Linked DNA regions of Cricetulus griseus. The protein of the gene in region 2 interacts with the protein of the main gene of each other region in a pairwise test. Links are inferred from orthologs where the notes say so. Each region holds a gene or a part of one and is shown on either strand. Other genes may lie near its edges.

Evidence for each region.
Region 1: the proteins of Ubash3a (region 2) and Fgfr1op2 interact in binary tests that used the Homo sapiens proteins (3 or more experiments, as listed by UniProt). The link is inferred for Cricetulus griseus from reciprocal best matches to the Homo sapiens genes UBASH3A and FGFR1OP2.
Region 3: the proteins of Ubash3a (region 2) and Gfap interact in binary tests that used the Homo sapiens proteins (3 or more experiments, as listed by UniProt). The link is inferred for Cricetulus griseus from reciprocal best matches to the Homo sapiens genes UBASH3A and GFAP.

What each region holds. Positions count from the first base shown.
Region 1 is NC_048601.1:3,100,912-3,107,405, reverse strand, and holds part of Fgfr1op2 (FGFR1 oncogene partner 2), read left to right. Parts: intron 1-1,913; coding exon 1,914-2,031; intron 2,032-3,273; coding exon 3,274-3,416; intron 3,417-6,049; coding exon 6,050-6,163; coding exon of another isoform or gene 6,164-6,172; intron 6,173-6,494. UniProt on the Homo sapiens protein: May be involved in wound healing pathway.
Region 2 is NW_023276806.1:259,580,338-259,586,831, reverse strand, and holds part of Ubash3a (ubiquitin-associated and SH3 domain-containing protein A), read right to left. Parts: coding exon 6,330-6,494; intron 5,248-6,329; coding exon 5,049-5,247; intron 2,394-5,048; coding exon 2,224-2,393; intron 1,049-2,223; coding exon 840-1,048; intron 1-839. UniProt on the Homo sapiens protein: Interferes with CBL-mediated down-regulation and degradation of receptor-type tyrosine kinases. Promotes accumulation of activated target receptors, such as T-cell receptors, EGFR and PDGFRB, on the cell surface.
Region 3 is NC_048600.1:115,222,817-115,229,967, reverse strand, and holds the start of Gfap (glial fibrillary acidic protein), read right to left. Parts: upstream 4,733-7,151; coding exon 4,278-4,732; intron 3,448-4,277; coding exon 3,387-3,447; intron 3,166-3,386; coding exon 3,070-3,165; intron 2,092-3,069; coding exon 1,930-2,091; intron 1,568-1,929; exon of another isoform or gene 1,153-1,567; coding exon 1,027-1,152; exon of another isoform or gene 799-1,026; coding exon 578-798; exon of another isoform or gene 1-577.

The DNA.
Region 1 (6,494 bases), on a different chromosome or scaffold from region 2:
CAAGTGTTCAAATCTGTGAGCATCCCAACAGCCAGAACACGATATTTGTAAATGCCTTTCTCTAAATAATGGACAATCTTAGGGGAAGCTTAAGAAGGGCATCTGATGATGTGGAGCGGATGGGAGCCATTCTCATTCAAACCACAGTAAACAATCAGATAATTTCTAATTGCAGTCTTCACATAGCATCACTTGTGTGTTTGCTTCACTGTGGACTAGGGTATATTAATCGTGTTCACTAACAAGTACATAGGTTTATTTTAAAATCTATGAATTTCATCCCTCTTCTGACAGAATTGCATATTTGAGTTAAATAAGTGAAACTGTTAAATCTAAATACATTTGATAAGGATCAGACAACACGTTTCACTAGTACTGGCACACATTAGATATTTGCTGTATTATATAATGTTGAGATGTTTATACTTTCCTTTATAAAAGTACTTGGGTGTTACTTTGTTTTTTGTTTGTTTGTTTGGTTGGTTTTGGTTTTTTGAGACAGTTTCTTTGTAGCTTTGGAGGCTGTCCTGGAACTCTCTGTAGACCAAGCTGGCCTTGAACTCACAGAGATCCGCCTGCCTCTGCTTCTTGAGTGCTGTTCAAAGGCGTGCACCACCAACGCCCAGCAACCAAATAAGTTTTTTTAAATGATGTAAAGAAGTATCTAATTTTCATCCTGTGCGGTTATTTCAAGTTCTTTTTTTTGCTAGCATGTTTTAAATTTGTCATTTACAATAGGAATTAAGTAGGTTTTACTTCTTGCTACTGGCATGTAGAGGAAACTCCCAGTAGATGATTGAGTTCAGCTACTGTATAAGCTGTCCCCCCAGAAAGACTTCCAACTCTTAAGGAAGCAGCCCTAGGCAGGCAGTGGTGGCAGACAACTTTATTCCCAGCACTTGGGAGGCAGACACAAGTCCGAGTTCAAGGCCAACATAGGCTACACAGAGAAACCCTGTCTCAAGAGGGTAGGGGGAGAACCTGAACTAAGGCTCCTTAAAAGTTACCAGAAATACTGGAGCAAGTCCACTTACTCTGTTTTATACCTGCATCTCCCTAAAGTGGTCTGCTCCTTGACCATCCGTCCAGATGACAGTAAGCATAAACCTGGTAGTGATGTGTTTTACAATCGGACTTTGACACCTGCAGTTAAGAACCAGGAGTGTTACTGTAAATATATTCCCAGCTATCCAGTAAGAATGCCTCCAGAAAAAAGAATAATTCTAAAATTAAGATTCCTGCTTTTTTTAAAAAAAATTCAAAATCCAGCCAGCTGTTGTGGTGCACACCTTTAATCCCAGCACTTGGTAGGCAGAAGTAGGTGGATCTCTGTGAGTTTGAGGCCAGCCTGGTCTACATATTGAGTTACAGAACAGCCAGAGCTACATAATAGACTTTATCTCAAACCTACCCCCACCGCCCCTTGCAGTGCTAGGGATGGAACCTGGGGCCTTGCTCATGCTAAGCAAATTCTATGCCGGTCAGGTCAGTGTGTTTCTGGCTTCCCACCCTCTCTACTCCCACTGACCTCTCTCCCAGTGGATTTGCCTGTTCGAGACCTGTAGACACTTTGTGTGCGTAGGACATGAGCTGTGTGGCTTTTGTGATTGGCCTATTGACATGTTTTAAATTTCATCTGGTTTCTCGTATGTGTCAGTCTTTAGGGGATACAGCATGTCTTGTTTCTTCTCTCTTGGGTCAGGGTGTGGGTACTCTAATTCCTCTTTTTTTCCTATTATGAGTATTGGTACTACGGATGTTTTCTTTTCCCTAAGGAAGGAATGTTGGGTCATGTAATGCCTCTGTTTCACTCTTAAAGGGTCTGTTCATTTATATCCATATAGCAGGTAAAAATTTGCAAATATTGACTTCCTATGTGTTCTTTTTTTTTTTTTTTTTAATCTTCTCATTAGTATCAGGAAGAAATCCAAGAACTCAATGAAGTGGCAAGACACCGGCCGAGGTCCACGCTAGTTATGGGAATCCAGCAAGAAAACAGACAGATCAGAGAATTGCAACAGGAGAACAAAGGCAAGATAGATTGTCGTGAAAAAGACCTTTAGTCTTCCATTGTGGTACTAGTTTGGGACTAATAAGTATATTCACAAATCGGAGAGGGGCTGGAGAGATGGCTCAGTGGTTAAGAGCACTGTTGCAGAGGATCCAGGTTCAGTACCCAGCACCCACGTCAGGCAGTCCTGGCTGCCCATCATTCCTTCTCCAGAGGATCTGACACCCCCTTCTGGGGCGCAGGCATGTATGTGGTGCACAGACAATGTAGGTACTCACACATGCACGTGAAATCAAATAGAATCCTCTTTTAAGTGGGGAAATAGTGAGCTGAAGTCCTCCTTTCTATTTAATCTCCTTCTTTGGTCTGTGTGACGAGGAGGCGCTCTCTCTGTGCTCTGCCCTGCTTATCCTCTTCTCAGCTGCTTCTCACATCTGGTTTACACCATTTTGTTACCTGTGAAGAACTGAACTCCACTCCCTGCCGTGTCCCAGTGTGGCTGCTCATATGCTCTGCTGTACCTGGAGACTTTCACTGTCAGCTTTCTCTCCATCCTTCAACACAAGCCCAAGTCCAAACTCCCCAGAATAAATGTGGCCATGATGCCCTTGCTTAAAATCTTCTGTTTTGATTTTATTTCCTTGTCAGTTGCTGGTCTCTCTTCTGCCCACTTCACACAGCTCTCCTCCACACTGTTTGTTTTGCCTTTCTACCTCAGTCTCCTAACATAGCCTTCACTTTCATGCTCCTTGCTGAAGATTCTCGTTCCTTTAGCTAGCGTTCACCATAAGAGCTCAAGTTCATTGCAGTGTGATAATTCTGTGGAACTTTCCCCAGTCCAGCCTCATAGCTCTGAAATGATTTTTAAGAAACAGTTTTAAATGAACACTTTAAAAAGCTAATGAGAGATGTCTCCAAGGATTAAGGGCACTTGCCACCAAGCCTGTCAGCCTGTGTTCCATCCTTGGAACCCGATGGAACCCCTGGAGGAAGACAAAAGTCAATTGCAAATTGTCCTCTGACCTCTGCATGTGCCATGGCGTGTGTGTGTACACACAACACACACATACACACACATACCCACACACATATACACACATGCACACACACACAGCATAAACCTTTATTTCAATAAAAAGTGGTGAGGGGCTTCTTTGCTGCACGGTCTCTTTTAAGATGTCATGTATGTCAGTGTTTTGGTAAATATGATTTGGGAGAGTATAATCTTAGCTCATTTCAATAAAGCACATTGTTCTCGATAGAACTGCGAACATCCTTGGAAGAGCACCAGTCTGCCTTGGAACTGATAATGAGCAAGTACCGAGAGCAGATGTTCAGATTGCTAATGGCCAGCAAAAAAGACGACCCAGGTATAATAATGAAGTTAAAAGAGCAACACTCAAAGGTAATCAATCCAGTCTACGAATTTGACTTGAAATGAAAATTGGGGCCATTGGTTAATCGATGTTTAGAGTTTAAACAATGAAAAAAAAATCTAAAATTGGTGTGATATGATATATAATTACATCCCCTTCTCCCCCCCCCCTTTTTTTTTTTGACAGGGTTTCCCTGTGTAGCCCTGGCTGCTGTCCTGGAACTCAACTCTGTAGACCAGGCTAGCCTTGAACTCTTGATCTTTCTGCCTCTGCCTCCTGAGTGCTGGAACTAAAGGCATGTGTCACCATAGCCAGAAATACCTCACATTTTTAATTGACATTTTCTTTCATCGTCACCACCCTGCCCCCTATTTCTTGTTACATATTGTATTCTCCTTGGCTTATTCTTGTAACTCACATTACTCCTTATTAACAGGGTCTCACTGTGTAGCTCTGGCTATCCAGGAACTCACTGTGTAGACCAGGCTAGCCTCAAATTCAGAGATCCATCTGTGTCTGCCTCCCTATTGGTGTCCTTAGTAACTTTAAAATGGTGTGTCTGTGTGTGTGGTGTCTGTATATGTGCAGTAATAAACTATTGTAAAAATAAAGGTGTGTTTAGTTTAAAATTACTCTGTGAGATTCTCTGCTTTTAAGTAGAATTTTCCAGTGAATCTGTAGTGCTACCTGTAACACAAGCAGAAAATGGAAACTTTAAAAGTCTGTGCACTGCTGAGTGCCGATTGTTTCCCTGAAGAGTCCAGTCTTCATGAGAAGCCATGGGGTTGGGGATCCTTCATGTAGATGACATCATTTGAGAAGCAAAGCCGAAGTAGTTAGAGCACTTTTGCAGTTGCTTGAATTGCGGCCATTTGGGGGCAGTTGTCAAGACAAGCAAAATAGTTGTTGCTGTTTACATTAAACTGAATTTTAACTGCCAGTGGAAAATGAAAATATTAAACTAGATTGGATGACTGGCTTTGGATAATGGTGAAATAAACTACTTACAACTAATACTATTTAAGAAATAGTGGTAGTTATAAGATACATATATTTCTCAGTTATATTTTGGAATCTTTAAAATATTTCTTCCACATTGGCGTTTATATCTAATTATCCTGTCAGAATTAGATAACTAGTAGTATTCTTTGGGTGACAGTTATACATATTACGGACTGTAATAGCAACCTCATGTTGATTACTAAGAGAATAAAGGAGTAAAGTTGGGTTTAGTGTTACCTATTTATAATAATCATGCCCTAACAAAATGGAAACCCTTGGGTATTTAACTGGTCTTTTGAACATAAAGTCTATGGTTAATGTTAGTATTGGTTACAGAGTAGCTACTTCAGTGTATATCAAGCCATGTACAGTGACACATACCTCTTTAATCCCAATACCTGAGAGGTAAAGGGAGGAAGGTCGGGGTTCTAGGCCAGCCTGGTGACATGAAATTCTGTTTTAATTCTACCTTCCCTCTCCTAAAAATAAGTAAATGTGTAACTAAGAGAGTTTTTTTTTTTTAAGTATAAGAATTGAAATTCCAGAAGGCCCTCTTGTTTTACAATTTGAAAAACCAAATTTTTGAAGTTTTGAAAGAGTGAATACCACCACCACCACCCCAAAAAAGTGCGTAGAGTAAAATCTTGTTAGTCCCATATAGTAGTAACTGTGGCAGAGCGAATGTTTTCTAAAGCACATGAGGAGGTGGAGGCAGAGCTCCATGGTAGAGCATGTGCTGAGCATACCTGCAGCCCTGGGTTCAACCCCATAAACAAACCTATTGGGTGTCCAGTCATCAGTGCTGTCCTGTTAAAAGTTTAAACACTTCCTAAATAGCCATAAACCTTCCGTTAACATTTGTTGTGTAGATTGAGATGATCCAAGTGCTGATCCTTGCCTTCCATAAAGTGACTGTTCAGTTATTTGCTATTAATTCTAACTAATACATGTTAATGTTTGTGGTTTTGATTTTTCCCAAAAAGGAGACACTTTGACTAAGTAAATCAAACATTTATTAGTTATTGGATTAGTTGCTAGAGGCAAGAGCAAGGTTAATGAAGGAATACATCACATCACTGTTAAGTCTGCCATGTAATGGGAAGTACAAAAACAAGCATAACTAGAACATAAGGTAGAGTGAGGTAAAAATGAGTCATTACTATAGAAGTAGGAAGAGCAGTATTGGTTTCCATAAGCAGAGTCTGAAAGAAGGCAGATTATTTAATCTAGCCTTGAATCAACTACAGGAGTGGGGTATGCAAAACAGAGAAATGAGATAAAGGCACAGAAGTGCAGGACTAGACTTGGTTAGGCTCCAGTGATCTGATATGCCTAGACATAGAAATACCTCTGCCACTCTTTGGGGGACACAGTTCCATGTGGCTGCACTTTGCAGCATGTGTCCTGCTTGAGGACATAGTGATACAGAATTTTTCACTTATCTAGAGCCTTATGAGTCCATATTTAAAAATCACTAGAAAATTTAACTCAGTTTCATCCAAATACTTATTTTTACATCATTATTTTAACAGACGCCTTTTTGGAAATCTTAAAAAAACAAACATTCCAACGGTTGGCTAACACGCATGAACTAACACTCATTCGGTGTTTAAGTTACGGAAGAATTCCGTATTAACATTATAATGGCTCTGTGCTACAGATTGACATGGTGCATCGTAGCAGCCGCGAAGGAGTCTTCCTTGATGCATCTCGGCGCATTCTTGAAGCACCTCAGCATGGACTGGAGAGGCGGCACTTGGAAGCCAATCAGAATGTACACTAAACCACACAGTCAACTTTGGTGGGGGGGATGAGATGGGGTCCACTTAAAGAGTTGTTTTATTTCTAATTGCCCTTCCAGATTAGATCAGCAAATAAATGAAATCAGTTGAAGAACAGTGTGCTTTTCATGGCTGTGCTGCTGAGTCTAAAACTCTCAAGTTTGTCCTCAGGGCCCTGTGTGTCATGCACAGGATGTAAGCCATTATAGATGACCTGACAGGTTTAGAGATGTTTACCAACCACCTTTTTTTTAGTTTGTTCTTACTAGATGTTGCAGCAGTTTTTGTTGTTATAAAAGAGTGCATTTCTAGACGTTAGATATT
Region 2 (6,494 bases):
TAGCTCAGGTTATCTCTAAGCATAGTGTCAAAGCCATCACCAAGTTTCTCCCTTCTGGTCATAGCAAAATGGGAGACAGATACACTGGGGGAGGAACCAACACTTTTAAAACAATAACACCCTAGTTTTGAAAATCCTTAGCCTTGACAGATGGTGGGGATGCTAAAATAGATAGGCCAACTGAGCTAGAAAAAAATAAACCATAAAGAGTATGCCAACTTCCAGGAAATATATGTCACCAACAACCACATGAGCTTAGGGAAGGACCCCGGGCTTCAGATGAGACCCCAGGGCCAGTCATGCCAGGGTCATAGCCTTGTAGGACCCCAAGCAGAGGACCCAGTTAAATTTGTGTCATTTTGCCATAGAACACTAGAAAATTGCTAACCCTCCTTAGAACACTATGAGGTTCATTTCTGACCTCTGTGTGCACTGTGTGATGCTCCTAAGAAGGAAGTATTTCACAGTACTATCTCAGAGTAATTGAAGCAATCTGATTTCCAGAGGGCTATCAGTAGAAACCATAAATAGATTATACGTTTACTGTGTGCATAGAGGGATAATGTGGCCACTATGGGGACTGCTTTTCTCTTCTCTTCTTTTCTTTCTTTCTTTTTTATTTTTTTGAGACAGGGTTTCTCTTTGTAGCTTTGTAGACCAGGCTGGCCTCAAACTCACAGAGATCTGCCTGCCTCTGACTCCTGAGTGCTGGCATTAAAGGCATGCGCCACCACTGCCCTGCTCGGGACTGTTTTTTATAAGGACAGAACCATCTAGAAGCCCATCACCACTGTGCCACTGTTTCAGATGACAACTGACAGAGAAAGGACAGTTCTCACCTGTGCTTAACCCAGGTGTCAGCCTCATTGGCTCGCTCTGTGTAGTTCTCTGGCAGGAAGCCCCGGCAGCCAGTCCGATGTGAGATCCCAATGGCCCAGCCCTCACTAGCTTCCTCCTGCTGTGTGGGGTCCACGAAGATGTAGTCGCCTCGACTGAGCATTAGCTCATCTGCATTCTGGGGTTTGTACTGGAACAGCGCCTTCAGAGTCTAGGAAGTAGAGCCACGTCTTAGTGAGGGTTTGTCTGGGAAGCAATAGCATCAGGAAGCCAGAAACCTTATGTCTAGCCTTCTGGCTCCTCCAATGTGTCTTATGCCTCCAAGGCCCCATTGTGCCTTTACCTAGTGGTATGCAGTGTGGAGTCAATGTGAACCACTGTGAGCCAGTGTCAAATATCAATAAAGTTTACTGTTTGTCTTCCACCAGTCTACCTACTAATCCACCAACCACTTGTCCATTCATTTATCAGCCCACCAACATGTTTGCTCATCCTTTTGCCCACCTACCACCCATCCACTCATGCATTCATCTTTCTATCCAGTCATACACCCACCCACCCATCCATCCATCCATCCATCCATCCCTTTTCATTCATCTGTCTGTCCATCAATCTACCCATTCATTTTCCCATTTATGCATCTATTCAGTTGGCCAGCTGTCTGTTTATCTACTCATTCATCTACCTGCCTATCCATCTATCAACCCATTCATTCATTCATTCATTCACCCATTCCTTCCCTCATCCATACATCTATATATCCATCCATTCAGACATCTATCTATCCACCATTGCATTCTTTCACCCATTTATCCATCCACCCACCCATCCATCCATCCATCTATTCACCTATCCATCCATCCATCCATCCATCCATCCATCCACTTATTCACCTACTCACCCACCCACCTATCCACTTATCCATCATTTATCCATATATCTGTTTCTCTTATGGGAAAGACCTTACAGTGTGACCAAATGTGTATAACCACCTTCCTTGGTGTGAAGCTATTCATAACTTCTCTTATGGCAGGGAATTGGTGGTTCTCTCATACTTATTCTCTGTGCAACATACTTTCTTCCTCAACTAATTAGCTCTTAGGAAAAGGAACCTTGAAACGAAGCCCATCAAAATCATTACATAAGGTGATTTAACAAGCAAACCATTTATTAACACATCTTGACAATGGGCTTTTCTAATACCGTGGGAGAGCTTTCACTGTCTTTTGAAATGACTGTGCATGCCCAACTCGTCTATAAAGGAATATAACTTCTTAACTGCACATGAGGAGAGAGATCTAGCAGAAGGGAGCCCCCTCTTCTCTTCAGGGAGGATTGTAGAAGTGAACCTCCTACCAGCAAGGCAGGCTGGGCCACTACTCTTACCTGGTAGTGCACAAACCGCATGTCCCGGGAGTACAGGGCAGCCGTCCACTGGCAGGTGTGGCTGGGCTGGATGGCTCTGGCCAGCTGCTCCAGGGTCCTTTGATGGTGAGGGTAGAACTTATGGGCCAAGGTCAGGTGCAGTTGCTTAGTGCAGGGCTTGACGGTACAGTCTGTGGAGTTAAGGAAATGCCGGATGCTGAATGTCCAGTGAACATAGGGTGTTGGGTACCCATTCTGAATGTCAGGTGAGAACCTGTCCCTGAATGTCAGCCCTGTCTGCCTGGAACAGGCAGACATCCTTTCTAATTATGCCTGCTCCTTATTGTTGGTGCTTTCTTGACAAGGCAAGGACTGGGCTCTCCCTCTTAGAAAGGATGTGGTTGGATGCTTGCAGAGTTTCTGAAGAAAAACAAAAGGTAGGCACAGAGATGTGGCTCAAAATCTTGAGAGCCCTTAGTCTGCAGCTAGTTTGAATGTTAGAAAAGCAGCAAATGGCCCCTTCATTCTCTGGTGCACACATGGCAGGGCCTAGACTCTAGGTCTAGGTTTGCTTTGGTTTTGGTTAGAGACAGAATCTCATGAGTCCTAGACTGCTTTGAACTTGTTATGCAACTGAGGATGACCTTGAACTTCTAATCCTCCTGCCTCTATCTCCTGAGTACGAGGATCAAAAGTGCGCACTCCCATACCTGGTTATGTGTTTCTAGGGACTGAACCTAGGGCTTCATGGTTGCTAGGCAAACACTCTACCCACTGAGCTACATCCCCACCCCAGACCAAAGCCTTTTGCTTAAAGAGGGGTCACAGGAGGAACATTTCTTGAGCAGTGAGCTGTAAAACCTGAAGCTTGTCTGACGTGCATTTGACTTTCCTCATTGGAAGCCCTGGTAGTGCTGAGGCCCGGTGCTTTGTGACAGCCTCTGACCTTGAGAAGCCCTTGGCTCCTGGTTGGCCTTTGAGTCTTTCAGATAAACAAGAGACACTGGCATGCAGGAACAACCAGCTGTGGTGACAGCTGGGTGGTAAAATCTCTCAGACTCCGAGGAGGCAGTTCCGTGTCTTCACAGGAATGGCAGACTTTGCTGTAGAGGGACCTGACTACAAGGCTCTTTTGTCCTTGTCACCACAGGGGCCTTGACTGAGAGTCATGCTCTGACTTAGCTTCCTTTATGACAGCTGGGACTTGAGGACAAAGATAGCTGGCTCCAGGACTCTGGAGTCCTCGGAGAACTTTCAGTGCCCCAAAACTGCCTGCCACGTCTCCATGCAGGGCAGGAAGCAAACAGGACTTGCTATTCCCCTAGTGAAAGTTCTGGAAGGTGCAGGCGCCATGACATTAGGTTCACCACAGCATTCTCCACACAGGGGACCTTTAGCACCAGCTAGACCCTGGCCAGGCTTCTGTGAAGGCAGTCAGCACAGGTGGCATGAAGGTGTGTGTAGGTGATGGGAATTTCCTTTTGTGACTCTTTTTAGCAGTCGGGGAGGTTGGGTTCCCTTGTGAGTCAGCACAGCCTGGAAAAGACCTGGTCTGGCTTCCCCAGAGACAGGGGTGAGTCATGCTGACTTCTGAATAGGCTTTTGTTTTTCCTCTGTTGTTGCCCTGTGTACCTGGGTTCAGTTTCACCCAGAGGGCTGGTGTGGGCAGGGAGGGACTCCAGACACTCCTGAGAGGAAGGACTGCTGCTAGCCTCTCAGGTCAGACTGAGGCATAGCCCCAGAGGGCAAGAAGAGCCTGCTCAGGGTCAGGAGATGGATAAGAACTCAGGGCCAGCTCTACCAGGAAGTGAGGCCTAACAACACAGAGCCCTGGTAGTGTTCAGTGAGGCAGAATGCTCATTTCCAGGCCTCCAAGATGGGTGAGTATGGCACTCACTTCCTGCTGCAACAGGATATCAAAACTGGGCTGCATAAAGCAACAGGAGTTTATCGTCTTAGGAATTTAGAGGCCAGAAGTTCAAAATCCAGGTGTGGGCAGGGCTACATTCCTCCTGAAGGCTCTGGGGTGTGTCCTTTGGTGTCATCCAGCTTCTAGTGGCCCCAGGCATCCCTGGGCTATGGCTGTATCCTGCCCATCTCTGCCTCTGTGGTCAAGTGGCCTCCTTGTTATCTCCATGTGTCCTTTAGAGGGAACCAGCTATTGATTTAGGATCACTTTATTCTAGTGTGACCTCATCTTAACTAATTGTAATGTTAAAGAGCCCACTGTTGAATAAGGTCCCATTCTGAGGTTCCTGGAGGGAGGGGACCATGTATAACCCAATACAGTGATGCCAGACAGTCTAGTTTCCTCATCTCTTTCTCTCTCTCTTTCTCTCTCTCTCTCTCTTTCTCTCTCTCTCTCTCTCGCTCTCTCTCCCTTCTTCCCTCTCTTTCTTTCTCTCCCTCCCTTCCTTTCTCTCTCCCTCTCTTTCTCTCTTTCTTTTTTTGGGGGGACAGGGTCTCATGTAATAAAGGTATGATTCACACTTTCTCTGCCTCCCCTTTCTGGATTACAGGTATGTGGACCTCATGTCTGAGATATGTAGCACTGAGGATCAAACCCCTCACCCTGGCAAGCACTCTTACCAACTGAGGTACACCCCTGGAACTTCCTTACCCCTTTTAAGGTGAGGCCTCTAAGACCTATCTGGGAGCATAGAGACGGGTGTCTGTCCGAGGGCAGTGTCTGGTGTGCTGCTTCCAGACAAGAACCAAACTATTCCTCGGAGGATGGTCATTAAAGAGCCATCATCACGGACAGGAGCTAGTCTGTTAGGGCCTTAGGTGTGGCTCTGCTGGGACACAAAGGGAAAAGTGTATCTGCCCACAGCTGAGATCCCCACCTGCTAAGACTGATGCCTCCGTGGCGAACGCTGTGGCGAACTCCCTGATGACGTCTGCGGGGCTGTCGTTGATGAAGAAGCCGAGGTAGCTGATGGAAGAATGGAGGACAAGAGGCACCAGGGTAGGGAAGGAGTTCAGGATCCTGTCCCCTGCACGCCTCAGAGCCTCATACAAACACTCCACCTTCTGGTCTTCACACTAAGGGAAGACGAACAGAGAATGAGTGTCCACCTGTTGAAAATCAAGGCTTAACCACTATGGGCTGCTCTGTATCCAAGGCACGGGATACTCCTTACGCAGCCCCTGCAGTTATAAAGGTTTACCCCCATATTTTCTCTTCAGTTATTTGAGGCATCTCGGGTAAGGGTCTTTCTGTAATATAATCCCCCTTACGTGCCTAGATTGGAACTCCCCTGTCACTGTCTCCCTGTCACCTCCCCAGGCAGTCTTCTTTCCTTCTGTGCCCCTTGCTTGTCTCAGTTTTCATGGGTTAGCCTCTGGGAGTCGCCAGTCAACTCTGAGGAATCTCATGGGGTCCCATGGGATCCCAGCTCAGACCTCCAGGAAGCAACAGTTTAGTTCTGTCCCCAGAGACCTCTTAGTCTCAGGCACACAGAGGTGCGTCATGGATGCTTGGGAGGTGTTGTTTTTCCAGGGGACAGCTTCTAGAAGCTTCTTTATCGACCACTGTGCTTTATACTCCTCTAGCAGTGTGGAGTGGCAGGAGAAGGCTCTGCCTGCTGTCCTGAGAATAGATGGGCCCTTCTCTAACTCATCAGGTACAGGTATAGAGGAAATGGCTCAGGGGCCTCCTTGTGCTCAGGCTTTCTCTTTGTCCACCAACTGTGCCTCTGCTGACTTCACCAATGGTTTTTGTTTTTCTCAGAGGGCCAGGCCCTGGCATAGGAAAGACCCTGGTCATGCCCAGCCCAAACCAGCACTCTTCAGGATTCTCATCACACAGGAGGCTCTTGCTCTGTTCAGGACTTTGCTAGTTTCTGGGTAGATAAGGACCAGGGCAGCATCTGTCTTCCTATAGGGACATGTGACTTTCATAGCACCCAAATGTGCTCCTAGAGATACTGACGGGAGCCTGGGGTTGTACCTCCTTCTGCCTGGGGAGCTGAAGGCTCTAAATGAATTGGGTCCTGAAGGCTAGAGGAAGGAAAAGATTCCCATCAAGGAGCCACCTTTATGCTAATGTCTTGGTTAAAATAAGTCAGTTGACAACTGGCATCAGTTGCAGTGGTGAGCATCTAAGGCCTCTGGAGTGGACTCACCGTGAAAAAGTCGCAGAGTGTCACATGAGGGAAGACCTCGTGAGCTCTGTTCTTCGCACACTGGCGCTTGCTCTCCCTCCAGAACTCTTGGAGTTTTTCCAGCAAGGGCCCCGTGGGGCAGAGGAAGAGCGCATACTCCTGGGGGATGGGGTCATCCAGAGAAGG
Region 3 (7,151 bases), on a different chromosome or scaffold from region 2:
TCTCAAGTGCTGGGATTAAAGTAATGAACTACATATATATGGCAGAAGTGGGTGTTGGATCCCCTGGAACCGGAGCGTTACTACAGAACATTGCAAGCTGTCATGTGGATACTAGGAACCTAACCCTAACCACACAGCAACCTCCAACCTCCTCCACCTAAATTTCAGCCCAGAAGCTAATACTCTCCTGCAGCTGGAAAAATCTGCAAGGAGCTTGTGTATTATCTGCCCCCACAGAATACCTCCAGGAAGGAGCATGGAGGCTTGGCAGGTGGGCGGGAGAAGTCCCATCTTTGTTGGCTAGCCTTGGGAGTCAGCCTCTTAGTTTGGGGGAATAGCTCAAGTCCTCAGCCCTGGAACTTAATACTGGTTGAATGAATCTATCTGTCTGTCTGTCTGTCTATCTATCTATCTATCTATCTATCTATCTATCTATCTATCTATCTATCCTTCAGTCATTTCTTGAATACCTATTATGCCTTAGGCTGGACTTTGGGGGTGGAAGGAATACAAGGCTACTGGAGTACCTTAGGGGGAATTCTAAGGAGAAAAAACAGCTCTAAGGAGATGAGCTCACCGGTTTTCCTCGCCCTCTAGCAATTTCCTGTAGGTGGCAATCTCGATGTCCAGTGCTAGCTTGACGTTGAGTAGATCCTGGTATTCCTGCAGGTGGCGAGCCATCTCCTCTTTGAGGCTTTGGCCCTCCTCCTCCAGCCGGGCGAGCGCCTCCTGGTAACTTGCCGACTCCCGCGCGTGGCGCTCGTCCTGTTCACGCATTTGCCTCTCTAGGGACTCATTCTGCCGGATGGAACCGACTGATCACTTGGTCCGGTGATTCCAAGGGGCTTTGAGGCCCCACCCTCAGCCTCAGCCCCCTACCCACCTCCAACTTTTCAGATTCCTTCCTCCCTTTACCACTCTTCATCTACCCTCAACCCTCCCAACCCCCCCCCGCCCGGTCCCCTTCCAGCAACATCTTGGGTGACGGCTGCCCCCATCCGACCAGTGGTCCCTGCCTGTGCTCACCGTGCCGCGCAAGGACTCCAGGTCGCAGGTCAAGGCCTGCAGTTGGCGGCGATAGTCATTAGCCTCGTGCTTAGCCTGGCGGAGCAGCTCTGCGTTGCGGGAAGCAGCATCTGTGAGGTCTGCAAACTAAATCGAAAGAGGAACTGAAGTCGAAGGGAGGGCTGGAGCCTCCCATCGGCACAGTGCACAAACCAGGTTGCTGCCTGGGATGGGGGATAGACACGGTCTCTGGAAAATCAGAAAAGTGGGGTCGACCTCAGGTCTCTCCCAGGTGCAGCAACTGTAACCGAAGGATTTATCAGGCCTTCAACATGTTCAGGCTGTCACTGGCTTCTGCGGCTCAAACTGGACTCTGTGCCCTGGCCAGCAACACCTCCAGTCTCTGCTTTTCTGTCTCAGGCCTCCTCACAACGCCTGTTCTCTACTTGAGACGCCCTTCCCTCTTCTCTTGAGTCTCTAAGCTGCCTGTTTAGCACAAGCCCCTGTTTCCCAGTCTGTATAAACTCTGATATCTCCTTGACCAAATAAATGTTTCTCTGTATCTTGGGGAGTACCCGGCACACAGTAGACGTTCAGGAACACAGGACACAGACTGGCAGAGGCATCAAAAAGGCAGGCTCTCAAATGAGATGGGTTAGGATTAGAAACTTTATCCCTTGTTCACTTAGGAGCTGTGTGACATTGTGCAAACTAGTTAACCTTTAACCTTGCTGGTTAAAAATAGTAGTAGCAATAACAATGAGTAGTTTGGGAAGTCGTAATGCCTGTGTGGTCCTGGGCAAGCCATCTCACTTCTCTGAGCAAGCTGGTCACCTAGATAGGTTATTTTCCAAGCCTCCTTCCCTATTCCCCAGTGTGGATCAGGAAGGGCTGCCTGGAAGAGGCAGGCTAGCCCACGGGTACCTTGGACCGATACCACTCCTCTGTCTCTTGCATGTTACTGGTGGCCACTGCCTCGTATTGAGTTCGAATCTCTCTCAGGGCCGCTGTGAGGTCTGGCTTGGCCACATCCATCTCCACGTGGACCTGCTGTTGGGCCAGCTGCTCCCGGAGTTCTCGAACTTCCTAATAGGGTAAAAGAAGGGGTATCTCAGGCCCAGGCTACAGCTGGGGCTCTCCCAGCATCACACTTTTGCCTGCCCAGATATGTCACTGGCTCAGGGAAATGGGGCAGCCTTTACTGGAGGAAGTGCATAGCCTAAGCTAATGGGCATGTGCCATTTAACCTTTAACCCTAGCATGTGAGAGGCTGGAGCAGGCAGTCCTCTATGATTTTGAAGCCAGTCTGCTCTACATAGAATGTTCCAGGCAAGCCAAGGCTACACAGTGAGACCCTGTTAAAAAGTAGAAATAAAAACCCTAATGGGTATGGAATGAGAATCTGAGGGCGTCTTCCTCCCAGGGCTGTGTGTTCAGGAGCCAGGCATGAATATGTCCTGCATCCTGGCTCTGAGGTCAGAGAACAGAGGGGTGTGTGTGTGTGTGTGTATTTGAGACAGGGTCTCATGGAGACCAGGCTGATCTCAAATCTTCTGTGTAGCTGAAATTGGCCTTAAACACTTTGAGCTTCCTACCTCTACCTCCCAAATGCTGAGATGGCATGTCCTCAGAGGGGTTTTCATGACTGTCTCCCATCTTCCTGGTGACAAGTGGGGGAGAGGGTGAAACCAGACAGGCTGTGTGACTTTGGGGTGGTTGTTTTGTTTTGTTTTGTTTTTAACTTCTCTAGGATTCAACATCCTTCCTGTTATGAAAGGAGACCACAAGAAGGGCTCACAGAGCTGATGTGGAGAAGAAACTAAAGACCTGGCCTTGTGCTTCTCAAAACATGGTGGTGGGGGAGGGCCTGTGTGCATTTTCCAGGGGTAGGAGACACTGGAAAACACCTCCCTTGGTCTCTCTGTCTTCACTCTTTCTCTTTCATTTTCTTTCTTCCTGACAGTTGGCTTCTCTGTTTCCCTCTCTAAGTATCTATCTGTCCATCTGTCTGTCTCTTTCATTTGAAGATTCTTGTTTGGCCTCCCTCGTTCCACCTGGCCTCACCTCCTCATGGACCTTCCTCAAGAACTGTATCTCCTCCTCCAGCGACTCAATCTTCCTCTCCAGGTCCAGACGGGCCATGGTAGCTTCATCTGCCTCCTGGAGTGGGGAGAGGGCCTTTTTTGACCCCAGAGCCCACCCCACTACAACCTCCAGTTTTGTCTTCTCCCTCCTTGTGGGGGTCTGGGAAGCAGGCAACTGCAGTGAAGGGTTAAGTTCAGGGCCTATGTCTGGGTGGGCAGTCATTAACCCCACCCCCAAGCCCTACCCCCAACACACACACCCCCACCCCAGCTGCCCATCCCTCCCATCTCTCTGACCTGTCTATAGGCAGCCAGGTTGTTCTCAGCCTCCAGCCTCAAATTGGTTTCATCTTGGAGCCTGGGATATGGGACACAGTATGGGCTTAATGCTTTCCTAAGAACTCTTATTAGATCCCTGTCCCAACCTCTATGGAATTGACTGTCATAAAACACTCTCACAGGACCCACAGAGTGGCAGGAGACGTAAGGAGCAGAGGCTTCCTAAACAGAGGCCCTGGCTGAGAGAGTAAGCAGCAGATAAGAGTTTCTGCCTTAACTCATTACTGAGGTGCCTTATCGGGGTTGGTGCACCTGCTCATGCTCGCACAGGCGCATCCACCACCATGTGCACGCTTTACAGACACCAGTGCACCTCCTGCACTATATGGGCACACGAATGTCCACCACTCAGCAAAGCACCATGCCCCAGAGTTCCACCTTTTAGGACAGATTGTATCATGACCTCTCCTTCACAGCTATGACAAAAACTGGTGACAGACAGTCATCGGGGTTCTGCACCCAGGCCTGCCCTTTCTTTCATTCTCTCTATTTCAGAGACCAGAGCCTCCTTGTGGACATAAGCCTTCACTCGTCAGATTCACAGTGCCAAATGAATGAAAAAGCAGAGCACCTGCTGGCTGGTGCCCTCGCTGCCCACACAGCCTTCCCCAGTGTGGAGATGTCCCGCGTGCCAGGCTCCCTGGCAGCAGACCTTTGGGAATCAGATCGCTGAAGTTCTGGCCTCTCCCTGCCTATTCCCATCATATTAGGGAGCAAAGATAGCTCTCCCTTTCCCAGGCATGGGGAAATGCAGCAGCTGAAACGCCGAGCCCTTGCCAGAGTCAGTACCCTTCCTTATAGGCATCCCTCTCGGTTCTGTCTAGCCATTTTCCCTGACCCCCTCCTCACTTCTGCCTCAGGGTGCCCAGGTCCTGTGCCAGATTGTCCCTCTCCACCTCCAACCGGGCACTGTTGGCAGTAAGGTGGTCCAGCCGCAGCCGCAGCTCTCGCAGCTCTGCCTGGTAGACGTCCGCCAGTTTGGTGGGCTCCTTGGCACGAAGCTGGTTCAGCTCAGCTGCCAGTGCTTTGTTTTGCTGTTCCAGGAAGCGGACCTTCTCGATGTAGCTAGCAAAGCGGTCGTTGAGCTCCATCATCTCAGCGCGCTCACTGGCCCGAGTCTCCTTGAAGCCAGCATTGAGAGCCCCGGCCAGGGAGAAGTCCACCCTGGCAGGGAGTGGAGGAGGCATTCGAGCCAAAGAGAAGCGTGGGATGGTACCCAGGTGGCGGCTGGGACCCAGGCCCCTGACCACCGTCTCGGAGGAGGCATAGGAGCGACGTGCAGAGGTGATGCGTCTTCGCTCCATCCTGCCCTGGCCCTGCTGGCTCTGGGGATGTCAGAGTTTTATGGAGGAATGGGCTGAACTGGCTCTGCCCTGACTTCCTGGCAGCACCCCACTGAATAGACTGAGGGGGTGGAGCTGGGCCCTAGCCCAGCTACGGGGAGAGCTCCTCTCACCCCACTGAGGTCTTTGTACTAGAGTCAAGGTTTCCCTGGGCACACCAGCTTGGCTTCACCAGTGATGAAGAAAAACCCCTTTCTGGTAAGATGGGTCAAGAGAGGGCTAGAGTGGCTGAGGAAACAGCCCATAAATTGCTTGCCTGTCAAGCATGAAGACTCAAGTTCTAGTCACAGAATGAAAACAAAAGGTCAGGTCTGACGATGTGTACTTGTAACTCCAGTGCTGGGGAAAGAAAACCAGGAGGATCCTTGGGTCTCACTGATTAATGGGTGAGTTCCAGGTCCCAGAGAGAAACGATGTCTCAAAGAAAACCAAGGCAACAGTGTCTGAGGAACAATACCTGATGCTGACATTTAACCTCAGTGCACATGGGCCCACACAGGAATATCTTGCAATGAACAAGCATTTGTGTGTAGGTGCACTCGAGCATGTGAGCAAACACGCACGCGCGCGCACACACACACACACACACACACACACACACACACACACACGAGAGAGAGAGAGAGAGAGAGAGAGAGAGAGAGAGAGAGAGAGAGGGTGAGCACGAGCTGGGTTGGGTGAGCTGCCCCCTGCTCTTAGCGTCTAGAAGCCAGGGCTACCCTCATTCTGCACTTTTCCATGGGCCTGTGAGATGCTAGGAACTTGAAGAATCTATGCCCTGCCTCCAGGATCAGCCTATATGATAGTTTCCTGCTGACTCCCATTCCCAACAGGTGTCCAGAGTCCTCTCCCTGCCATCCTGTCTTCTCATTCCTGGAGTTCAGGAGTGAAGGGCTGGGCTTGGGGCCCTCCCTATGACTCCAGGGCCAGCCTGGGCCTCTAGCTGTGTGTCTAAGGGGCAAGACAGAAGGAATGCATGAGGACCCTAATAGGGTACAATAGCAGACCTCCTTCCTGAGCCCCTCTTTGGCATCGTGTCTAGCCTACTGGGCCATTTCTTCCTGGTCCAGCTTCCCTTTACTCCTCCCCGAGCCTGGCCCCTGACAGCTCTACAGAGTAGCTATGAATGAGTTGGTTGTGCATGCTGGAATCTTCATTTTTGTAACACCCTGTCCTCCTGGTCACCCCTCATTCTCCCAGGAGATTTATCTTCTTCAAATTTCCACACATCAGGCCTCTGGGGAATCTCTAGGTCTGGGAAGCCAGAATTCACTATCATCAATGGTGGGGAGGAGGCTGTTGCCGTGAGACTTCAGGCCTATCCATCCCCTCCACTCTGGTCCCTCCCAGGCGCCTTAGCCATTTGTGCCCTTGGGCTTCTGGAAAACAGACAGCTAAGTTCCCCCCACCCCTGCTTCCCTCTGTCCATGCTTGAGCTTCTGATCCCTGCTCCAGGGCACTTGCTGAATAGAGCCTTGTTCTCTGCCGCCAGTGAGGGAGCCATACGGCAAGGGCAGCCCCAAGGGGGCTGGGCTGCTTTTATCCTAAGATGCCAGGATGTCAGCCCCTGGTGCTGTACAAGCTCCCAGATCAATGGACTTCTCGGAAAGCATCGAAGGGGGCCTGGAGTGCAACGGGAAGCAGGCTGTGTGCCTACCCTGACCATTGTGTCTCTGCCAAGGTGAGTCATTCAGCGGGCACACAGAGGAGGTCCTGGGGGCAGCCAGCTTACAGACAACGCCTGGCTGCTTGCCCCCTCCCCCTGCTCAAGCCAATTCAGACCCCTGAGCTCCTGACACAGCAGCATCCCTTACTCGGTACCAGGGACATGGCATTCACTTGAACTTGCACAGGCTGAGGTTCCCCTAGCGAGTCCCAGCATGGGAAAGGAAGGAGCTCCTTAAGATCTAGCCATATCTTCCCCCATTGAGGACAACGGCATAGTAAGGCAGATCTTGAGAGAAGTTCCCAGCAACCTTTAGGCAGTATGTCATCATGTCCCCTGGAACTCACTATATAGATCAAGCTGGTCTGGAACTCACAGCAATCCAATTGCCCCTTTGTGATTAAAGGCTTGCATGACCACTTCCTGCCCCCCAGTGACTATTAATATTCTTATAAGCTGGAACGCTAAAGAACAGGGGATGTTAAGGGAAGAGCCTTACTAGAGACCAGCCTTTAACTCAGGACACATCTCAGAGGGTAGGAGTGGCCTGCCTTTCTAGGTCCAAACAAAGTGGTTCTGAAGGGAAAAGATACGACAAGAGCAGGAGAGGTTTGACAGAAAAACTGGAGAGTCCGTCCTGTTTATGTGAGTTTATTTCAGTACCAGCCAAGGAGTCCTCCAGTCTCTGCCCCTCACCCCCTCCTTGTACCCCTG